Linked DNA regions of Tamandua tetradactyla. The protein of the gene in region 1 interacts with the protein of each later gene in a biochemical or structural test. Links are inferred from orthologs where the notes say so. Each region holds a gene or a part of one and is shown in the gene's direction. Other genes may lie near its edges.

Region 1 (10,007 bases):
ATGAAATTGTGAATTAGTGATTATATATGTAGAACGGAATGATCATATGTTAAGAATGTTTCTGTTTGTTTGTTGTTAAACATTTTTTAAAATTAATAAATAAAAAAATACCTCATGAATTCAAACTGATAGTTACTATTTAAATTCAGGCCTAAGGATTTTCAACCTCTTTTGTTTTCTATCTGTAGCTCCTATCCTCCACTTGAAAATTCTGGTTCTCAAGGACACAGGCCATGAGAATATTCAAATATCCCATAAATACACAATTGCTTTATAGTTAGCACACTTCCCCCTTTCCTTTTACACAGAGAAGCAAGGAGACCATGTAAACATATGTATAAGAACTGGTCACTTCAGAAGACAGAAGTTTCTCTTTATTCTACCCAGAGCTGTACATGTGTCCCAAGAGCTCTGGGAAGTCACCACTCTGGGGACTGAGGTAGGGGAAGGTGGAAGAAGAGGGAGGGGGCAGTTAGCCAGAGAATGGAAGTCGTACTTCTCTCCTCTCCAGTCCAGCTCACCCTCTAGTGGAGTTAGAGGGCAAGAAGGAGCAGGAAAGAGCCCAGGGCAGGGCAAACAGGAAGTTAATCTGCTGACATTTACTTAGCAATTACCAAACTGGCCCTAAAATGAGTGCTGAAGGTAGAAAATCTCTCTGTGGCTTTAAGTATAGCTGGGAAGAGTAGAGGCTGCCCAAATGAAAAGCACTTTGTAAAGTGTCACCAAATAAATGCCAAATTTCAAAATCATGAGAGGGAAAGCCAATAGAGCTTATCAAAATAACTTAATTATAATTATTTTTAAAGAATGCCATTTTATTTCTTTCAATAGAATTCATAGTAGACCCTAAGATACAAATGTTCATATACATTGTGAAAAAATATTAGCGGTTACAAAAGGCTTAAAAATCTTCTACATATAAAAAATAATCAATGGATCCAGAGGTGAAAACCTACATTCTTTATCATTTGAGTTGATGTTAAAGGGGACTCATTTTGGTCATAAAACCCCAGAAACTTATTTTGACATTACCATGATTTTCAAATGTATTCAATAATATATAAGTTCCACATTACAAAGGCTTGAATTAACAAGGCTTTATTATTTTATTAAGTGCTAAGGAGAAGAAAAAAAGTAATAAAAAATGCATTATTAAGGAAGTGAGTTTAACAGACAAATTTTTTTTCCCTTAGATCCCAGGTGTGCAAATTGTAGTAATCAAAATCTTTTGTTCATGAAACAATTTGCCATTGATTTAATTTTTAATGCAAAATTGAAACCAGATTGTTTTTGCATCCACCAGGTGTCACCAAACGACCACCATCTTTTTTTTTTTTTCAACTTAACCAGCAGCTTGCACAATATCCCATGGTATAAAAATAGAAGACTACAACATCATTTCAAAGGCTACGTGTTATTACAGTGTATATGGACCATGATTTATTTACCCAATCCCATATTACAGGATATTTTAATCTTCTTTGTTTCCAGTATTTCACTATTAAAAATAATTGCTAGGCTGAACATAAATTTTTAGACAGGTCTGGACTAGATTCCCGGAAGTGGTACCAGTGGGTCAAAGTGCAAGGCTGTGTGGAAGGGAATCTAACTGGTAGAAACAGGAGTATATCAGATAAGAAGCTTTCCTGGGAAGGTGCAGAAGTGGAAACTTGCAAGGCATTTATGGGCATGTTTGTTTGGCAGGAGTAACAAAAATTGGTGGTAAAAAACAATCAGATCCTTGTGTCTGATGCTCCTTTTATCTACAGTATGGACAGACAAGTAAAACATATGGATTAAAAATAAATAAATAATAGGGGGAACAAATGTTAAAATTAAAAATATATATATTGGGTAGATGGAAATACTAGTGGTCAATGAGACGGAGGGCTAGGGGTATGGTATGTATGAGTTTTTTCTTTTTTTCTTTTTATTTCTTTTTCCGGAGTGATGCAAATGTTCTAAAAAATGATCATGGTGATGAACAGACAACTATGTGATGACATTGTGAGCCACTGATTGTACACCATGTATGGAATGTTTGTATGTCCTTGTACGTTGTTTTATCAATAAAAATTAAAAAAACAACAACAGCCAGGTTTGGTATTTGTATTTGAAATGATTAACAAAAGTGAACATTTGAAAATCATGGTAATGTCAAAATAAGTTTCTGGGGTTTTATGACCAAAATGAGTCCCCTTTAACATCAACTCAAATGATAAAGAATGTAGGTTTTCACCTCTGGATCCATTGATTATTTTTTATATGTAGAAGATTTTTAAGCCTTTTGTAACCGCTAATATTAATTTTTCACAGTGTATATGAACATTTATATCTTAGGGTCTACTATGAATTCTACTGAAAGAAATAAAATGGCATTCTTTAAAAATAATTATAATTAAGTTATTTTGATAAGCTCTATTGGCTTTCCCTCTCATGATTTTGAAATTTGGCATTTATTTGGTGACACTTTACAAAGTGCTTTTCATTTGGGCAGCCTCTACTCTTCCCAGCTATACTTAAAGCCAAAGAGAGATTTTCTACCTTCAGCACCCATTTTAGGGCCAGTTTGGTTAATTGCTAAGTAAATGTCAGCAGATTAACTTCCTGTTTGCCCTGCCCCGGGCTCTTTCCTGCTCCTTCTTGCCCTCTAACTCCACTAGAGGGCGAGCTGGACTGGAGAGGAGAGAAGTACGACTTCCATTCTCTGGCTAACTGCCCCCTCCCTCTTCTTCCACCTTCCCCTACCTCAGTCCCCAGAGTGGTGACTTCCCAGAGCTCTTGGGACACATGTACAGCTCTGGGTAGAATAAAGAGAAACTCTTGTCTTCTATTGTAGGGCAGAAACTAAATGCTGTTAGAGGAGGATACGTGTAGCAGATCAACTAGCTGGGGAGAGGCATGAAGAAATGAAAATTGGATCTTGGGTGGTAGCCATTGGAAAACAGCTTCTACTCATCAGCTAAAGAATCTGCAGGACTCGAAGAACTGAATTTAAAGGACAAAAAGTAGAGAAAGATACTTCTAAAAAAATGATTCCAGATTTTTTTCAGGCGGGGTAACCCAGAAGTCATGGAATCCTAAGGTCTCAATAGACGTTATAGGGCACAGATAGTAATAGATAATAGGAGATGGATGACCAGCTTCATAATTTGTGGGACCCAGAGCAAAATTAAAACCTGGACTTCTTGTTTAAAATTAAGTTTCAAGGCCACGACAGCAAAACATTAAACCAGGCGGGGGGGCTCTTCTAAGAGACGCCACAGCTGACTCGCCCAGGCAGCCCCGCGCAGTGAGCAGACGTGATGCGCTCCAGGGTAGCTGGTTTAAGGGCCAGGCGGGATCACCCGAAGGTGCGAGCACACCTCGCCTTCGCTTCTCAGGGAGAGTGAGCCTCAGGGCTCCAGGGAAGAACTGGGCGCCGTCGCTCCCCGACCTGCCTTCAGAGGCTCTGGGCTGAGGGGGAAGTTTCGCAGCACTTCTAAGAGCGTGCCGGCGCGTTCATTTCGGACCTGGGACCTTTGCGTGGTCATTAGTCCCAAACACACACACACACAAACATTTCAGACCTGGGACCTCTGCGTGGTCATTAGTCCCAAACACACACACACACCTTTGCACGGTCATTAGTCCCAAACACACACACACACACACACACACACACACACACACACACTTTTCAGACCAGGGACCTCTGCGTGGTCATTAGTCCCAAACACACACACACACACACCCCCACTCCTCCACAGCCTGGGCAAAGATCCCGAGACGTGGCGAGTCCCGGCCTTGGACTCAGTGCTGTTACTCATAAACTCGGAGAACGGAGTGGCAGGTGGCGTGTGTGCGCACGCAGGGCCCGCAGCCCAGTGAGGGGAGCACCGCGAGGACAGAGGGTCTCGCGAAAGTGCAAATCCCGGAGGACCAAGGGAACGGGGTGTGGGGAGGAGTGGGGTGGGGTAGCACAGGCGACAGTTGCGTCAGGGAGTGTGTGTAAAGTTCGCGGAGCCCAGCTAGGGATCATCTAAAAAGTTGCCGATCCTACAAGAACGAGGCTTCCGGAAGCTAAAGCCAGGTGGGTGTGGAGGATTGGAATCCCCAACTGTAACATGAAGACATCCCAGGCGAAAGAAAATGCACTTCATACTTAGGGCAGGGCCCAGTGAAGCGAAAAGAGAACTGATCAAGCGGAGATTTCGGCACTGTCTGAAAAGTGTGAAGCCAAAAGAATTTAGGGACACACAGAAAATGGTAACCCTTGCTAAGACGAACCGCTATCCGTTTCTTTTGCGCGGCTTCCTCTCTGCCATCAAATCAAGTTCCGTGGTCTGGGAGCTAGAAAGCAGCAGATTCCGGAATTTACTCCCTGCTCCCTAGGAGAGCGAACGCCCCTTCTCCATTCGTGTTTTCTCCCTGCCTCAGACCCGCTCAGACCCCCATAGGCACTTTCTCCCGCCCACCTGTCAATCACTGTGCTCCGCTACCCAGTCAGCAAGCCCAGGGGGCGGAGCCGCCGCGGGCGTCGCGTGACGTCGGCGCTCGGCAGGGAAGCCGGCAGATGCGTGACGGACGAGGCGCATGACGGAGGAGCGGTTGGCAGACGCTGCGGCTGCAGTCGTTGTAAACAAGGCCTAGCGCAGCTGTAGGTCCCGCTACTGCTCCTGGCTAGAGGGTGGTTTCGCGCGGGGTAGTAACCGCCGACTTCAGTAGGAGGTGCTTGGCGACTTCCTCCCTGCCTCTCTCCTTGGCGAACACACCCCCGGCACACCACGTGGGCGTGAGGCAGGGGAGGAGGGGGTCGAGTTCTAACTTCATTGGCTGTCGATGCTGCCGGCCTGCGCAAGAGAGTGCCCTTATTGGTCGGTAAGGGGGGCGTCGGGGGTCTCTGACTCTTCAGGCTTCTGATTGGTTAGGTGAGATAAGCTAGTGAGGCGCTTTCTTCCGCGAGCCTTTTAATTGGTCAGCCAGACAGGTTACCTGGGAATCCGCCCCCCCCCACAGGGACTTTGATAGGTGAGTTTGGGATAGAAAACTGAGAAATTCCTCTTCGAAGGATTCTTTGGTAAACTAGGGTATCGCCCTAGGCTTCACTTTCTGTTTTCTGTGCTTCACAGGACTGGGGAAGGTTTGTGTTCCTGAAACCTTGGGAGTTGTCACATGCTAAAGAGAAGGGATCACAGTTCCTAGGAAGGCGTTCTCTTCTCTGGAGACCCTAGTATTTCTAGAGCAGGCTTTGCTTTCACCAAGGAAGTGACAAGAAGAACCCCAGCAGAGGTCCTGAGGATGCTGTGACCAGAAGATGGGATCAAGAAACAGCAGCAGTGCAGGATCTGGGTCCGGAGACCCCTCCGAGGGCTTGCCCCAAAGAGGGGCTGGCCTGCGAAGGAGTGAGGAAGAGGAAGAGGAGGATGAAGATGTGGATCTGGCCCAGGTACTGGCCTATCTACTACGCAGGTAACTTACCTTCTGGTGTGTCCTCACCAGGTGCCACCACAGACCCTTGCTCCCAACTCCAGGCAGGGAAATCATAGAAGTTAGGAAATGTAACTAGCCCAGGGTGGTTACTCTGAGGGTCTTCCCCTCCTGGCCAGCCCTGGCTTCAACTCCATATCCAGTAGGAGTGGTTCTTACCTTGGCTAGGGTAGGTCACTAGGGGAACCCGTTCTTGTGTTTGAAGGGGCAGTTCAGGGGAGTCTCACTGACTGTGACTACATGCATGTATTTCTATTTAATCTATTTTCTGAGTAAGTAAAAAAAAAAGGGCCCTGAGGGATAAGGAGTGAAGTAGGAGATGAGGAGAAGTGTTTGGGAGGGAGGAGTGGAACTTTAGTAAAGCCATTGACATTTGATATGAGATCCTGTGGATTTACTTGAAAAACAAGTTTAAATTGACCTAACTCTAACCCTAGTCTTGAGGCAAGAATGGCTTGTAGGAGATGACCACCAAGAATTAACTGGAAAGGGGTGCGACTGGCTTTGTTTCCTGGCTTATGGTTAGGGAGAAGACAAGCCCAGGAATCCCTTCAGAATACTGTTTTATGTTGGGCTTCTCAGGCTGAAGCGCAGAAGGAAATGCTGTCAGAATTTTTTTCTCCATGGGAAATCCACTTAGTTCTCTACTCCTGCTCTAAGAGTAAATATCAATTTACATGACTTACAGGAGACGGAAAATAACAGGCAAGGTGTAGTCAGTCTCCAGCCCTCAAAGTGGGGACAGTACTAGGGTTTGAGTTCACATGGTCTAAGAGTGAAGTGGGCACTGACTCTGAATTTGGCTGGGCTGGGGAAAGGGATTCCCGCCTTTATCGTGGGGGGGGGGGGGGCTCTCTCCACAGAGGCCAAATGAGATTGGTGCAGGGAGGAGGAGCTGCAAATTTACAGCTCATCCAGGCCCTCTCTGACTCTGAGGAAGAGCATGACAGTGCCTGGGATGGTCGTCTGGGGGACCGATACAACCCACCTGGTAAGAGTAAAAACAGATTGAGACCCTAAAATTGGAAGATTTTAATTAGAAAACCTTTTGTGTGTATGTGTGTGAGAAGAATCATGGGTTAGACTGAAAGAAGATGAGATAATTCAGGGAATGAGGGAATCTTTGTAACCCCCAGTATACTCAGCCACATTGGTGAGGCCCATCTTCGTCCTGTTTTGGACACAGTTATGCTAACTGCCCTCTGGAGCTAGAAGACCTAGGGTGAAACTTATCTTTGGTACTCATAGTGGATGTGACCCCTGATACCCGGGAGCTGGAGTGCAACGAGATCAAAACACAAGTGGAATTGGCCACAGGGCGGCTGAGACTTAGGCAGGCAGCCCAGGAACACAGCTTTCCTCGAATGCTGTACCAGGTAGGTTTCTTCATCCCCAACCAGCCTGACACCTGGCCTGCCAGGGTATCCAGAAGTTCTTGCTACCTCCCGAGAGGAGGGAGGTAAACCCTCCAAGGAAGTCTCACATGCTCATGCTGGGGAGTTCTTGGCCGACTTGTGTCAAGGTTATGTGTAGTCCATTTCTTTAGCAAGAGCAATGTCTTTGGAGGAGGGGTCTTGGTGTGGCTTTAGCGGCCCTCTGTATCTGCTAGCAATATTCACCAATCCCTTCCATTTAGAGACAACGGGGCCTCTGCCACCAAGGAAGCTTCTCCCTTGGAGAGCAGTCTCGAGTGATGTCTCAGTGAGTATGGGGCTCAGTGGAGAGACTCTAAGGGCCAGATAGGTCTTATCCCCTGTACTTTGAAGGGGCAGGTGTTAAAAGATCTCAGAGATGTTAAGGTTACAGATTAAATGGGTTGCAGCTTTGAGAGTAAACAAAGTGGAAAAGTGTAGAAATAAAGATGATAATAGATAGGGTGAAAGAAAAGGGATTATATGCCAAGCCAAAAGGAAAGAATACCTTTATGCTGGTATTTCTGCCCTGTTAGGATCCTGTTAACTAGGGCACTCCTCACCCTGAAGTCCCCTCACCCTCATTTTCCGTGTGTTTCCCAGCTTCTTGCCCAATGATCTGGGCTTCACTGACACCTACTCTCAGAAGGCTTTCTGTGGCATCTACAGCAAGGATGGTCAAATCTTCATGTCTGCTTGCCAAGGTACCAGACCCTGGCCCCACAAGCTGCCCTTGCCTGAAATAGGAAACATTCCTCCTGACAGAGGCTAGAAAGCCCCAGACCCAGAGAGCTCAGACTCTGTCTTAGGAGGCTTAATCAGAATGTATTTTTTATGATAAAAGAAAGATTCCACAGATAGACTGAGTGATAGAGGGCTGATCCAGGAGAATTAAGGGGGTGTTCCCGTAATTCTGCCTTATTCTCACTTGCACAGACCAGACAATCCGACTATATGACTGCCGTTATGGCCGCTTCCATAAATTCAAAAGCATCAAGGCCCGGGATGTAGGCTGGAGCATCTTGGATGTGGCCTTCACCCCTGATGGGAACCACTTCCTATACTCCAGCTGGTCTGATTACAGTGAGTATGCACCAGACTTTCATTGTCTCTCTATCCTGGGATCTGAGTTTTCCGTACTCCCGAGAGGACTCCATGCCTCATCTTGGAAAAATCATTCCCAGGGTACTCTGATATCCTTGCTCTTTTTTGCAGCTCTTCCCTAGCTTCACTTCCATGAGTCTTCGCCCAGTCCTGAAAGATTCTTGTTTCTCTTGCTTCTCTTAGTTCATATCTGCAACATCTATGGGGAGGGAGACACACACACGGCCTTGGATCTCAGGTACTGCCTTCCCTTCCTCATCCGACTCATCAGAAACTTCTTAAGGAGGGCTCTTCAGAAACAAACTTCTTGAACGGGAACCTGTTCTTAAGGGAAAAGTACATTGGTTGCAAGTTTCTCTGTGGATTCCTGGGAAGAAACTGCCCATCCTGTCAGCCAGAAGGCCTGTGTAAAATAGATGGTTGCAGCATCATTTCTGGGTTCTCAATGAGGTGATCTGCATTCTGGCACATGTTGACAGGACTTCTGTTTTCCCTTACAAGTGTGCTTTACAATCCTCAAGTGATTCCATGTAGATTAACAAAAGTTGAAGGGAAGTCTATTTACCTAGTTCATTCTTCGCTCCTTTCAGGCCAGATGAGCGTCGCTTTGCTGTCTTCTCCATTGCTGTCTCCTCAGATGGACGAGAAGTGCTAGGAGGGTGAGTATTTGCAGGAGATGGCTCCCTCAGTTAATGAGATAAGCTCTCCTGTTAGACTGCACTAGACACCCCTACCCAGCCCTTCTTTAAGGTCAAGGTTGACAAGTTGCTTCACCTCTTAGTCACCATTTCCTCAGTACCAGGTGGCAGGTCTCAAACTTCTGTGCAGTCAGACACAGCTAACTCTTCTCTCTCTTCCTGTATGAGGTGAGACAAGGGGCTTGCCCCTCAGCAGGGCTTCTCAATAGACACTCTCCAGAGTACACATAGCATTGCTTTTCTTGGTCCTGGCTCCAGGACCCTCTTTATCTCTTCCTTTTCAGTGCCAATGATGGTTGTCTGTATGTCTTTGACCGAGAACAGAACCGGCGCACCCTTCAGGTATTGTTCCTCAGACTTAGAGCCTCTGGCTCCTGGTCCTTGCTCTGTGAGAAGACCTAGAAGGAGGTTGTAGACATACTGGTCTCTTTCTCCTCCTAGATTGAGTCCCATGAAGATGATGTGAATGCTGTGGCCTTTGCTGACATAAGTTCCCAAATCCTGTTTTCTGGGGGTGACGATGCCATCTGCAAAGTGTGGGATCGACGAACCATGCGAGAGGATGACCCCAAGCCCGTGGGTGCACTGGCTGGACACCAGGATGGCATCACCTTCATTGACAGCAAGGTAAGCAAGACAGGCAGGACTGCACCACCAAACTACTAAGATTCTGGTTCTCCAGGAGGACGTAAAAGCGGTGTGGGAGCTTGCTGAGCTCTTTATTACCCAGCGTCTATAAGAGCTAGAGTTTAGGGAAGGAGCTTAAGCTAGGAAACATGAGATCCATCTGTACCACCAGTCCTCAAGGAATAGGAAAGAGCTTTCTATACCAGAAAAATAGAAGAGCATCTACTGTAGAATAGAAGAAGAGACCCAGCCACGTTGAGTGAAGAAGGAAAACTTAGCTAGGGGGTGAGATCCAAGGCAGAAAACTGAAGGTGCGCTCACCTGGAAGAGGAAAGAACAAGCAAAGTCAGAGGACGAGTTCTTATGCCTGAATTAGAGGACTGATTAGCACCAATATTTGCAAGCTCTGATGCTTCATTACCCAACTTTGGATTCACAGGGTGATGCCCGGTATCTCATCTCCAACTCCAAAGACCAGACTATCAAGCTCTGGGACATCCGGCGCTTTTCCAACCGGGAAGGCATGGAAGCCTCACGTCAGGCTGCCACACAGCAAAACTGGGACTACCGTTGGCAGCAGGTGCCTAAAAAAGGTGAGAGCAAAATGTATACCCTAAGATCTGGAGAGGTGAGAATCAATAGTAGTACTTGAAATACTTAACCACTGGTAGGGCCTGCATATGGATGTGGTCTCACC
Region 2 (10,007 bases), on another chromosome or scaffold:
GGCTGGGTAAGGGGCCGACTGTCCTCAGCCCTGTTCTCTCGGCTTTGCTCGGGCCACCCTGCCTGCTGGACGGCACTCGCCGTCCTTGGTGCCTTTTGCTGCCCCTCCCCAGTACCTGGGAGCCTTTGAGCTGAGCCACCCTTGGCTCTCCCGTCCACAGACCAGGCTGTGGAGATTATGCCATGAGGCAGCACAGGGCCAGGCTCAGCCCTCAGGGCCCACGCAGGTCAGAAGGGGCCTGCCTTGTGGTCAGGACACCTATAGGTGCCTGCCCAGCCCCCCATGGCACAGGTGGGGAGAGGACCAATGTAGCCCAGGGGAGGACCCTGCCCCCTGCCTTGGAGTCCTCACACTTGTGGCCCTAGAACCCCTAGCCTCAGGTGGCATTTGAAGCAAGTGAGAGGGCCCTGGCAGGCCCAGCCTCTATTGGACCAAGACCTCCACTTGACCCCCCCATGGCCAGGCCCTTGGGAGCAGAGACCCCACAGGACGCCCCATGGGTGGTCACCAGATGAGGGCAGTGAAGGTGTTGTCAGGTGCTGCCCAGCAGATGGGGCAGCTGGAGGTTACTCTCTCTACAGGAGAAAGTTAGTTTCATAAAGATAAATCAATTGTAGCCAAATGTTGCAGTATTTAATTAAATACAAGTCTGAAATTACATGCATTTCCAGACCTAAATCCTTTGTTTAAATTCAAGTTTTCATAACCCTCTGGGAAGGCCCAGGTGGCATCTGAGAAGCCGCTGTCGTGTGGCTTGTCTTGTTCAGGAAGAGGAACAGGCACCGTTTGCGAGGACACACCAGGGCCTGGGGTGCTCAGGTGAGAGGTGGCTGCCGGCCTTGGCAGGTCGCCTCCTGTGCCCACCAGGGGAACCCAGCACTGCCCATTCAGAGGCTCCTGACCCCCCGACTGGTGCCGTCCTGGGCCTGTAGGGGACCCCCCAGAACGTTTGCTGCTGTTTCCCCTATGCTGTTCCTTCATCTGCAGAAGCACACACAGCCCGGTTGGGGGACTTGAGGTCTCTGTGTTCTTGCTTTCGGAGCTCTCTCACCCTCATTCCTTGGCTCAGCTGAAGTAAAAGTATTGCTTTAGCTAGCTGCACGGTCTGAGGGAGGACATGGGTCGACAGTCGCCAGGTCCCTGCAGTGCTGGGGGTTGTGGCAGCATGGGCAGGGCTGGGGGCGCCGGCCCCTCCTGGGTGGGGGGGGGAGGGGAAGGGACTCCTGAGGCCAGACTTCCTGGGCTGGGCCAAGGCCTTGCACCATTGCCTGCATCCTTGGCCACCCCTCATCCTGAACCGTGCTTTGGGGAGCTTTGGGGCTTTGCCCCCAAGTGCAGCTGCACCCTGCCTGGGGTGCTGCCTGGCGAGGGACCACCGTTCCCACTGTTTTGGAAGCAGGACAGGATGAGGGGCAGGTGGGGAACACGCAGATACCGCAGCCGAGTGGGGCTCTGGTGGCTCTACGGACCAGTGATTCTGCCAGACACTGCAGCCCGCCCAGGCCCCAGGGAGCAGAGTGGGAATGGGTTCTTCCAGCCCCTACTAACTGTTGACCAGGCAGGCTAGTGCAGTGTAGAAAAGGTGGGTGTTCTAGTTTGCTAGCTGCTGGAATGCAACACACCAGAGACGGATTGGCTTTTAATAAAAGGGGATTTATTTTGTTGATTCTTCAGAGGAAAGGCAGCTAACTTTCCACTGAGGTTCTTTCTTACATGGAAGGCACAGGATGGTCTCTGCTGGTTTTCTCTCCAGGCCCCTGGGTTCCAACAACTTTCCCAGGGGTGACTTCTTTCTGCATCTCCAAAGGCCTGGGCTGAGCTGCGAGTGCTGAGATGAGGAATGCCGAGCTGCTTAGGCTGTGCTACATTGCGTTCTCTCATTTAAGCACCAGCCAATTAAGTCAAACTTCACTCATTGCAGCAGACACGCCTCCTAGCAACTGCAGATGTAATTAGCAACAGATGAGGTCCCCGTACCATTGGCTTGTGTCTGCAGCAACAGAACTAGGTATGCTCACTTGGCCAAGTTGACAACTGAATCTAACTAACACAGTGGGCATAAAGGGTGTCCAGCAGGTGGTAAGGGCCACCAGAGCGGCTGAGAAGATAGCACATTGTCATCTAGCCCTGCCTAACAAACCACCCCAGATGATGGTTTCAAACAACAAACACATCTCAGTTCCTGGGTGTCAGATATTCAGAGTATGTTGGATGGCCCTGGCTTGGGGTCTCCCCAACACCCCACAGGGACATTGGCCTGGGCTGCAGTCTCTGAAGGCGTGACTCGGGAGAACCTGCTTCCGAGACAGACTGCTTGCAATGGCTGATGAGTTGATGTGGTCCTTGGTGGGAGGTCTCCATCCCTGGCCATGGGGCTGTTTGAGCTCCTCCCAGCATGGCAGCTGGCTGCCCCTGGAGCAAGTGATCCAGGGGAAGACAAGGAAAAACCCAGTGTCTTCGGTGACCGAGCTCCCCTTCTGCCACATCCTATTGGCTACACACAAGCCCGTGCAGTGGGAAGGGACTCCCTTACAGGGGGGCCGTCTTGGAAGCCAGTTACCACATTTGGGAGGTGAGGGCCACCTTTGGAAGGGTTGTTGGGATAGATTCACAGGAGGGGAACGGTGAGCTGAATTCTGAAAGACGGGCAGGGGCAGTTTTCTAGTGAGAGAAGATGGAGTGCAAAGGCCCTGAGGCAGGAAGGTGTGTGTGCAAGCTTTCCAGGCCAGAAGGTGGGTGGGGAGGGCAGCATGGTCCCAGCAAAGCTGGGGAAGCAGGCAGGGAGGCCCACGGGCTGGGGGACACAGTGGGGTGTGTCAGGGGGATGCCAGGGAGGGCTTCAAGCAGAGGTGGGCATGCTCTGCCACTGCCTTGGGCGATTCAAGGTTACTGAGATGAGCAAAGGTGGTGAGTGACAAAGAAGGGTTGGACACAGAGCCGGCCCTGCCCGGCTCTGGGGAGCGCGTGGGAAGAGGACACCTGTGACTGGGGCCCAGCGGGGGGATCCGGGGAACTTTGAGAAGATGGTCCTGGAGGGTGCGGGCGCAGGAGGGGCAGAGGCCCTCCTCACCACAGTCCATCCTCCTGCCTCTCGGGCCTCTCAGGGCGACCCAGACCTTAGGCCTGAGTCAAAGCCACGGCTTTGGGGAGGACGCGCGAGGCTGCGCCCCCGGCACCCTTCTCCGCCCCACGGGCTCCCGCCCAGCCTCCGTGGGCCCCTCACACGCGAGGGCCGGAGCGGCGGTCTCGGGCGGCCCCGGCCCAACTTCGTCTCCCCGACTGGCGGAAACAGGCCAGTTTGGTCCGCGCTAACCCGGGCAAAAGGTCCGCGCCTTCCGGGTTCCCGTTCCCGCCAGTTCGGGGCACGACCCCGGGGCCCGGCCAATCGCAGGCGCGCCCTACCCGAGCCGCGGCCAATCCGGGACGCCCGGCCCGCCCTCTCCGGGCGCCCGCGCCGCGCGCGTCCGAATCTCCCGCCAACACTCCCGCCCCCCCCGCGAGGGCGCGGCCAATCGGTGCGCGAGGGGCCCGCGGCGGTCCGGCCGCTTCCACGCCGGGGGGTGGCGGCCTGGCCCTCGGGCCGGTCCTCAGACAGCGGGGCAGCGCCAGCCCGTCTGCGCGCGCGCAGCCTTCGGGGCCGTGGTCTCGGCGCTCCCGGCTGTCCTGGGAGCCCAGCCCCGGCGGAGCAGCTTTCGCGGCGCGTGCGTCCAGGCCGGCGTCCCCCGCCGTCTGCACCCGATGGTCGCGGCCGACGCCGGCGCGCGCGGGAGCCCCGAGGGGCGGGGCCCGGCGGCCGCCTAAAAGCGGTTGAGGGCGGGCCGTGCGCGCAGTTCCTGTCAGCGCCGGCGCCGCGGCGTCTTCTCCCGCCTCCGGCCGCAGCTCGCGCACTCCCGCCGCCCGCCCCGCCATGGCCTGCCGGCCGCGAAGCCTTCCCCGGTGCCGCGACGCCAGGTGAGACCGGCCCGGGAGCGGGGGCCGCCCTCGGACGCGGAGGTCGCGGGGCTGTGGAGGTTCCGGGGGGGGCGGTCGCCGCGCGGAGTCCCGGGAGGGGTCCCGTGGGGGCGCGGGGGCCCCGGCGGCCCGGCCTGGCTGACAGCGACGCCCTGGCCGCAGCCCGCGCTCCCCAGCTAGGTGGTCCCTGGGCCGGAAGCGCAGAGCCGACGGGAAGCGCAGGAAGCCCGAGGACAACGACCCCCGCGCGCCCGGCGAGGACCCGAGCCCCGCGCGCTGGGACGGAGGCGCGCCCCGGAGGGCGGACTACCGGCTGGAGAGGTGAGAGCCGCCCCGGCCCCTGGCCGCAGGGTCCCCGCGGAACAGGCTCGGGCGGGTCTCAGGCCGCTCGCGGGCCCTGTGTGCGTCCCTTCGGAGGGGCTGCAGCCCGAAAGGAGGGCGGGCGGCCCGCGCGCGCCCGGAGGGCGTCCAGGTGAGTCGCTCCGACGTGGCTCCCGAGAGCCCTGCGGGCCGCGACGCTGGTGGGTCTCGGCGGCGTGCAGCGGGGCCCCGGAGGGGAGCAGCGGGAGGTGGCGGCCCTGCCGCGACGGTCCCCATGCTGGCTGGGACTGGCTGCAGGAGGACACAGTTGGGGTGCGAGGGGGTCCAGGCCCTTGGCCCAGTCGAGCAGGGCTGGTGGTGAGAAATGGGTGGTCTCAGAGGAGGGGCGCTTGCAGGCAGACCCAGCAGCATTTGCCGATGGGATGGGAGTGGGGTCTGATGGGCAGCTGTGGAGCTAGTGGAGCCGTTTGCCAGGTGGAGAGCCGAGTTGAGCAGCCTGGCCTGGAGGGGCTGCCTGGAGGAGGCGTCTTGCTGGGATCTTCTTCAGGATTGAGGCCCCATGGGCTTGGCCAGGCGCTGGGGGTAGGAGAGGCCTGTCTGAGCCGTGGGGTCCGAGGCGATGAGCAGGTAAGGAGGCCTGTGGAGACACATCCCAACCGAGCTCTGGACCCTCCAGCGCTCTGGGTCTCCTGTGTGGCTGAAGATAAGCCTCCAGGTCTCACACTGGCGGAGGTATCTGGCGTCCCTGCTAGGCGGACTGCTTCGGTCTTCCTCTGTGGCAGAGTGCCCCATCCTGGGGCCGTGGCACTTGGTGTCTGTTGTGTGCCTGAGACTCTCCTCCTGGGTGGCGGTGCCCATCCCTGAGCTGCCCTCCACGAAGAGCTGCCCCGCAGCTCCTGATCCCCTCTTCTGTGGAGTGGGTGCTGCCACCCGAAGCCTCTCTGCACGCCCCTTGTGGTCTCATTAGAGCTCACACTTCCTGGTGGTGAGCAGGGGCTTTATTCTCACAAGCACAAGCCTGTGGACACGCGAGTGCCCCCAGGTGAGGCCTGTGCGAGGCGGGGTGGCGGCAGCAGGGAGTTTGGGTTGAGCAGACTGACTCGTTACCTTGAAAAGAGGATGTGATCTGGGAGCGGGCGAGGAGGGGCCTTCCTGCCCCACAGCCAGGCCCAGGGCCTCCTTGGGGTGCCCCTAGAAGGGAAAGAGGGGTGCCCGGGTGGAAGGGAGAGCCCGGAAGGGCTGGCCTGCTGCTCTCCTGAGTGGCAGGTTCGTCAGGGTGCCCTCGTCCCGAGGTGGGGAGGCTGGGGTGTGACCGTCTGATCTGAGAGTGGACTAGAGCTCCGTGAATGCGTTCTCTTCCACGCTGCCTGGACCTGAGGTGGAGTGAGTTCATCTCCACGGGTTCCTAAAGGATGGATTTGAGGGTGGATTTCCACAGTGGGATCCCGGCCCCAGTACCTGTTGGGACATTGGGCCTCACTGGGCCCTAGCTTGGTCCTCCTCTGTAATTACTGAGTCAGTTGACTTCCCAGTAATGAGCTAATTTGACTTCAGGCTTTTGCAACCATTTTAAGGGTTTGGAAATTTGCCTCTTTTAGAAAATACTGCTGTGTTTCTCTAAAGGAAGACGTGACAGCATGAAGGAATCCTTCATTTGTTATTTCGATTGCACTTCAAAGCGCTCTGTTTGGGGTTTGTAGGTGGAATATGGGGTTTGCGTGCAGCTGGAGTTGGTGCCTAGTTTTGATATGTTGGTGGGAGCTGATAGAAAAGTAGGGAAGGAAAACTGAAAGGTGAGTTTAGATCAAATGTAAACAGCAGACACCAGCAATTCCAACTGCCCAATTTCTTGGTATCAAAGCTTGAGTTTTAAGATGGCCTCATCTTGACCTAAGATTTGCTTGAACTTGAGGTAGAGCAGAGGTGCTGGGTTAGGCTTACTCACCCCCAAGTGGTGCCTTCCCCAGTTGGTGCCATTCCTCCTGCGTCCACTTGTGTACTCACTCCTGCCTGTGTGTGGCATGTCCTCAGTTGCGACCGACATGCACTGAGGAGGTAAATCGACTGAAAACCTTTTCACGAGTCCCAGGGAAACAGGTCCTCATGTGTGTGGGCCGCTCTTCCTGGCACGGTAGACACCCTGTTGCCCCTGCCTGCACCCCCCCCCAGTCACCCGGTCACGTAGCCACCACTGGCACACAGCAGGCACGTGGTAAAAGCTTTACGAAACCCAGAGGTACGCTGAGCAAATTGCCCAAGCTCGGTGCCCTTTGAGTGACTGTGCAGAACAGCGCCTGCTACTGCCTGCGTTGAGTCTCACGGGACACAGGGCAGCAGTCCTGGTTCGAATGTGCATCTTCATTTTGCTTTGCAGCTTTACCACTCCTGAGGGCCCTAAGCCCCGATCCAGGTGCTCAGACTGGGGCAGTGCAGTCGAAGAAGATGAGATGAGGACCAGGGTTAATAAAGAGATTGCAAGGTAACGGGCCCGGACGCCTAAGAGCGTTATCGCTGGTTGTCGGTTGTATGTTGTATGTGCAGTGTGTCCTGTTGCTGTGCATCTCAGGTGTGACCCCGGCTGGCAGCGTCAGCCCCTGCTCAGGATTTGTGAGAAGTGGGAAATTCTGGGGTGGGGTCCAGTACTCTTTTAAAAAGCTGGAAGCTAGTGCTTTTTTTCCTTGCAAAATGGCTAAGTAAGTTGTGGTTTGTCAATCCCTTTAGTTTTGTAATGGAATGTTGTGCTGCAAAGAGAACGAGCACGTGGCAGTCACGCGCAGTGTGCCGGGGGCTCCTCAGGTGCGGCATTGGACTTGAGAGTCCCGCGTGTGTTCATGGTCCACCCCGGGAGAGCTGGCCCTGGTGCAAGGTCCCTAGGGCGCCCGGGGCCAGGTGAGGGGCAGGGTGAGCAGATCGCCTCCAGGTTTGTGTGGTTGTGCCGTTGCCTGCCCCAGCCCACCCTGACTGGAGCTCAGGGAGTTTTGCCTCCTTTTCCTGGTGTTTGCACAAAGCTGGAGTGACACTGGAGCATAGCAGGTGGCATGTGGTTACTGCACAGATCACCCCTGGGCCTTGGGGTTGCTCCTTCTTCCCTTCCGGTTCCAGTCGCCTCCCGGCCTGGGGAGGATTGGTGCTGCCCTTGACGTTCCCGGGGGTCCGTGCCGCCCTGGCTCTTGTGGCCGCCTGCTGGCCTGGCTGTCCGCCCCCTCTTGGGCGTGGGGTGTTTCTAGTTTCTGACTTAATTTGCAGCGCTGTGAGTGTGTTCCAACTGATCCTTCCCCCATTTTCCAAAGCAGATTTCATAAGCCAAGGGGTAAGAACCGTTTTGTGCTTTTAGTAGAGATTGGTCCAGTCGATGGTGCCACAAGCAGGGCCTGGGTTCACCCTCAGGCTCCACGGGCTCTCACAGGCGGGCATGGCTCCTTGAGAAGCTCTGGCCTGCCCAGCTGCCCAGGGGGCCTGGATCCGGCCACATTGGCTTCCTGGAGGGCAGTTAAAGACAAACTTGCATTGTCGGCCTTTGCTTTGGAAGGGACAGCGAGGTCAGTTGGGGTTCGGCCCCGGCTGTCTGCCACGTGGCAGACAGGTGCACACGTGGGCCGCAGTGCCGGGGAGTGAGTCTGTTGAGCAGGCACATCTGCTCGGCCTCCCCCTCCCCCGCATATCTTGGGTGTGGAGGAGCTTGGGGTGAAGCTCTGGGAGCTTGGAGCACAGATTTCATCTCTCCCAGGAGGTCTCCTGTCCATCACTGCTCTGAGTCTGGGAGCCCTTGAGGCCAGCTTGCCTATCTGCCTGGGTGTCCTGTCGTGGGCTGCACATGACTGTCTCTGGGGGCCTCTGGGCTGGGTGAACCATGGGAAGGGGCTGTCTGAGGGTCTGCTGACCCGGTTCCCCAGCCGCTGCCCGGGAAGCCAGGATGCCCAGCCCTGCCCCCAGGAAGCCCTGTCTCTGGCCTGGCACTCTGCTTTACTCCCTGGCCTGTGGCTCTGGTTCTTGCTCCGACTGTCCTGGGGCAAGGCTGTCCCGTCCTGCGCAGCCCCTCCTCCTGCCACCTGCTGCCTGGGGCCGGGGCGCCCGGAAGCCAGTGCCGACAGGCTGCGCACGGTGAAGGGTTCTTTTCTTTCTTTCTTTCTAGGTCTATTTTTAAGAGCAGCTGTTGGTTTATAGAAAAATCACGCACGAAGTCCAGCTCCCATGTGCTGCCCCCACAGCTTTCTCTCTCAACACCCTGCGTTTGTGTCTCTCTAGTTTAGCCACCACTAGGGTTGTATGCTAGTTGTCCTTTACGGTTCACTCTGTTCTACGGCCCTGTAGTTTGTTTGTCACACACACACTCTTTCAAGTACACTCTTTCAGTGGTGTTCATCTCATTTGCAGTGTCATGCGCCGTTGCATGGGACGGCTCATAACTTGGGGTGGGGGGCCCCTCGTGGCTGTGTGCAAGGGTGTGTTGCACAGCCAGGCTTGGCGCTCAGGGCCCCTCCTCTCCCTGGCTCAGCACTGTCCCTGACTTTGGGTTACGTTGCTGCAAATGAGTTCGGTCCTCTGCCCCGTACCCCAGCTGAATGAACTTTGAGTTAAGCTGTGATAACGAGTTGGGATGTACTGAACCGAGAGGGTTAGCCTAAGTGTTCATAGGCCACCTGGGGTCTCTGCTGGCTCTTCGTCCTGACGAGAGCTGCCTCAGCACTTGTGGACGGGGGCATGCTGCCTCCTGGAAGGACACACTGGGGCGGTCCTGGGATGCTGAGCAGGTCCGCCCTTCACTTCTAGCGGTGGCGTGCCCGAGGTGGGTGGCAGGCCCTGGAGGGAACCCAGCAGTCCACAGGTGCAAGAGCATCTGTTGAGCCTGTTGGGAAGGCGTCGTCTTTCTTTATGCAGGACTCTGTTTTCTCACCTGGACGATCGGAAGCTTTGACTTGCCCTGGGCAGGCTCTGTGATCCACTTGTGTCCAAGCTGCCCAGGGCCCCTCGCCTGGCCCCCGCGGGGCTGTACAGCCCCCTGAGGCTCCTGTGTGCCTCGCCATCTCATGGCGTGTGACATCCAGGGCACCCATCCCCGTGGGAAGCTGCTGCTGCTGCCCTGGGTGACGTGGCTGGTGGCTTTGTCAGGCAGCCTTGCCTTGCTGACCCCAAGGAAGAGGCCACAGGACAGCCATGCACATGAGGAGCCCACCAGGCTCCGCAGGCCCCTGGGATGGAGTTAGCCGATGGGGACGGTTGAGGAAACCCTCAGTTACCAGCAAGGGGCCATGGCCAGGGCCATTCTTGGGGTGCAGGGGGCAGGGTAGTCCTGCGTGCCCTGCGTCCACAATGTGCTGGGCACTGTTGCAAGCTCGGGGTGCCGTGGGGGCTTGAGGGTGGCGGGGAATGCCCATCCTGGCTGCGATGAGGGCTCCCCTGCATGCCTGCAGGCTGGGAGTGTGGGCCCTGCAGCAGATGCGACCCACCACGAAGGGACGTGGCTACTTGAGCTTTATTTTTTCAAAGGCTACTAAAAACGTGGGGTGTGTGTCAATACGTTTTTTTTTTTTTTTACATGGGCAGGCACTGGGAATCGAACCCGGGTCCTCGGGCATGGCAGGCAAGCACTCTTACCTGCTGAGCCACTGTGGCCCGCCCATCAATACGTTTTTATGTTTAGATCTCACTGCTTAATAAACTGCCCGGCGTCCCTTTTGGCCTGGGAACCCCCCTGCCTTACATTGAAAGGCCTGCGGCACCGGGCAGAGTTTTCT

What was found.
Region 2: the proteins of DCAF11 (region 1) and SLBP form a complex in vitro, tested with the Homo sapiens proteins (2 studies listed by BioGRID, with this or other methods). The link is inferred for Tamandua tetradactyla from reciprocal best matches to the Homo sapiens genes DCAF11 and SLBP.

Annotation. Positions count from the first base shown.
Region 1 is NC_135340.1:30,670,225-30,680,231, reverse strand, and holds the start of DCAF11 (DDB1- and CUL4-associated factor 11), read left to right. Parts: upstream 1-4,509; 5' UTR 4,510-4,639; exon of another isoform or gene 4,640-4,710; intron 4,711-4,728; exon of another isoform or gene 4,729-4,860; intron 4,861-4,882; exon of another isoform or gene 4,883-5,010; intron 5,011-5,081; exon of another isoform or gene 5,082-5,111; 5' UTR 5,112-5,296; coding exon 5,297-5,451; intron 5,452-6,332; coding exon 6,333-6,460; intron 6,461-6,717; coding exon 6,718-6,845; intron 6,846-7,105; coding exon 7,106-7,170; intron 7,171-7,484; coding exon 7,485-7,585; intron 7,586-7,817; coding exon 7,818-7,964; intron 7,965-8,168; coding exon 8,169-8,223; intron 8,224-8,575; coding exon 8,576-8,644; intron 8,645-8,967; coding exon 8,968-9,025; intron 9,026-9,124; coding exon 9,125-9,310; intron 9,311-9,749; coding exon 9,750-9,903; intron 9,904-10,007. UniProt on the Homo sapiens protein: May function as a substrate receptor for CUL4-DDB1 E3 ubiquitin-protein ligase complex.
Region 2 is NC_135345.1:1,393,269-1,403,275, reverse strand, and holds the start of SLBP (histone RNA hairpin-binding protein), read left to right. Parts: upstream 1-3,854; 5' UTR 3,855-3,907; coding exon 3,908-3,951; intron 3,952-4,113; coding exon 4,114-4,272; intron 4,273-6,646; coding exon 6,647-6,751; intron 6,752-10,007. UniProt on the Homo sapiens protein: RNA-binding protein involved in the histone pre-mRNA processing.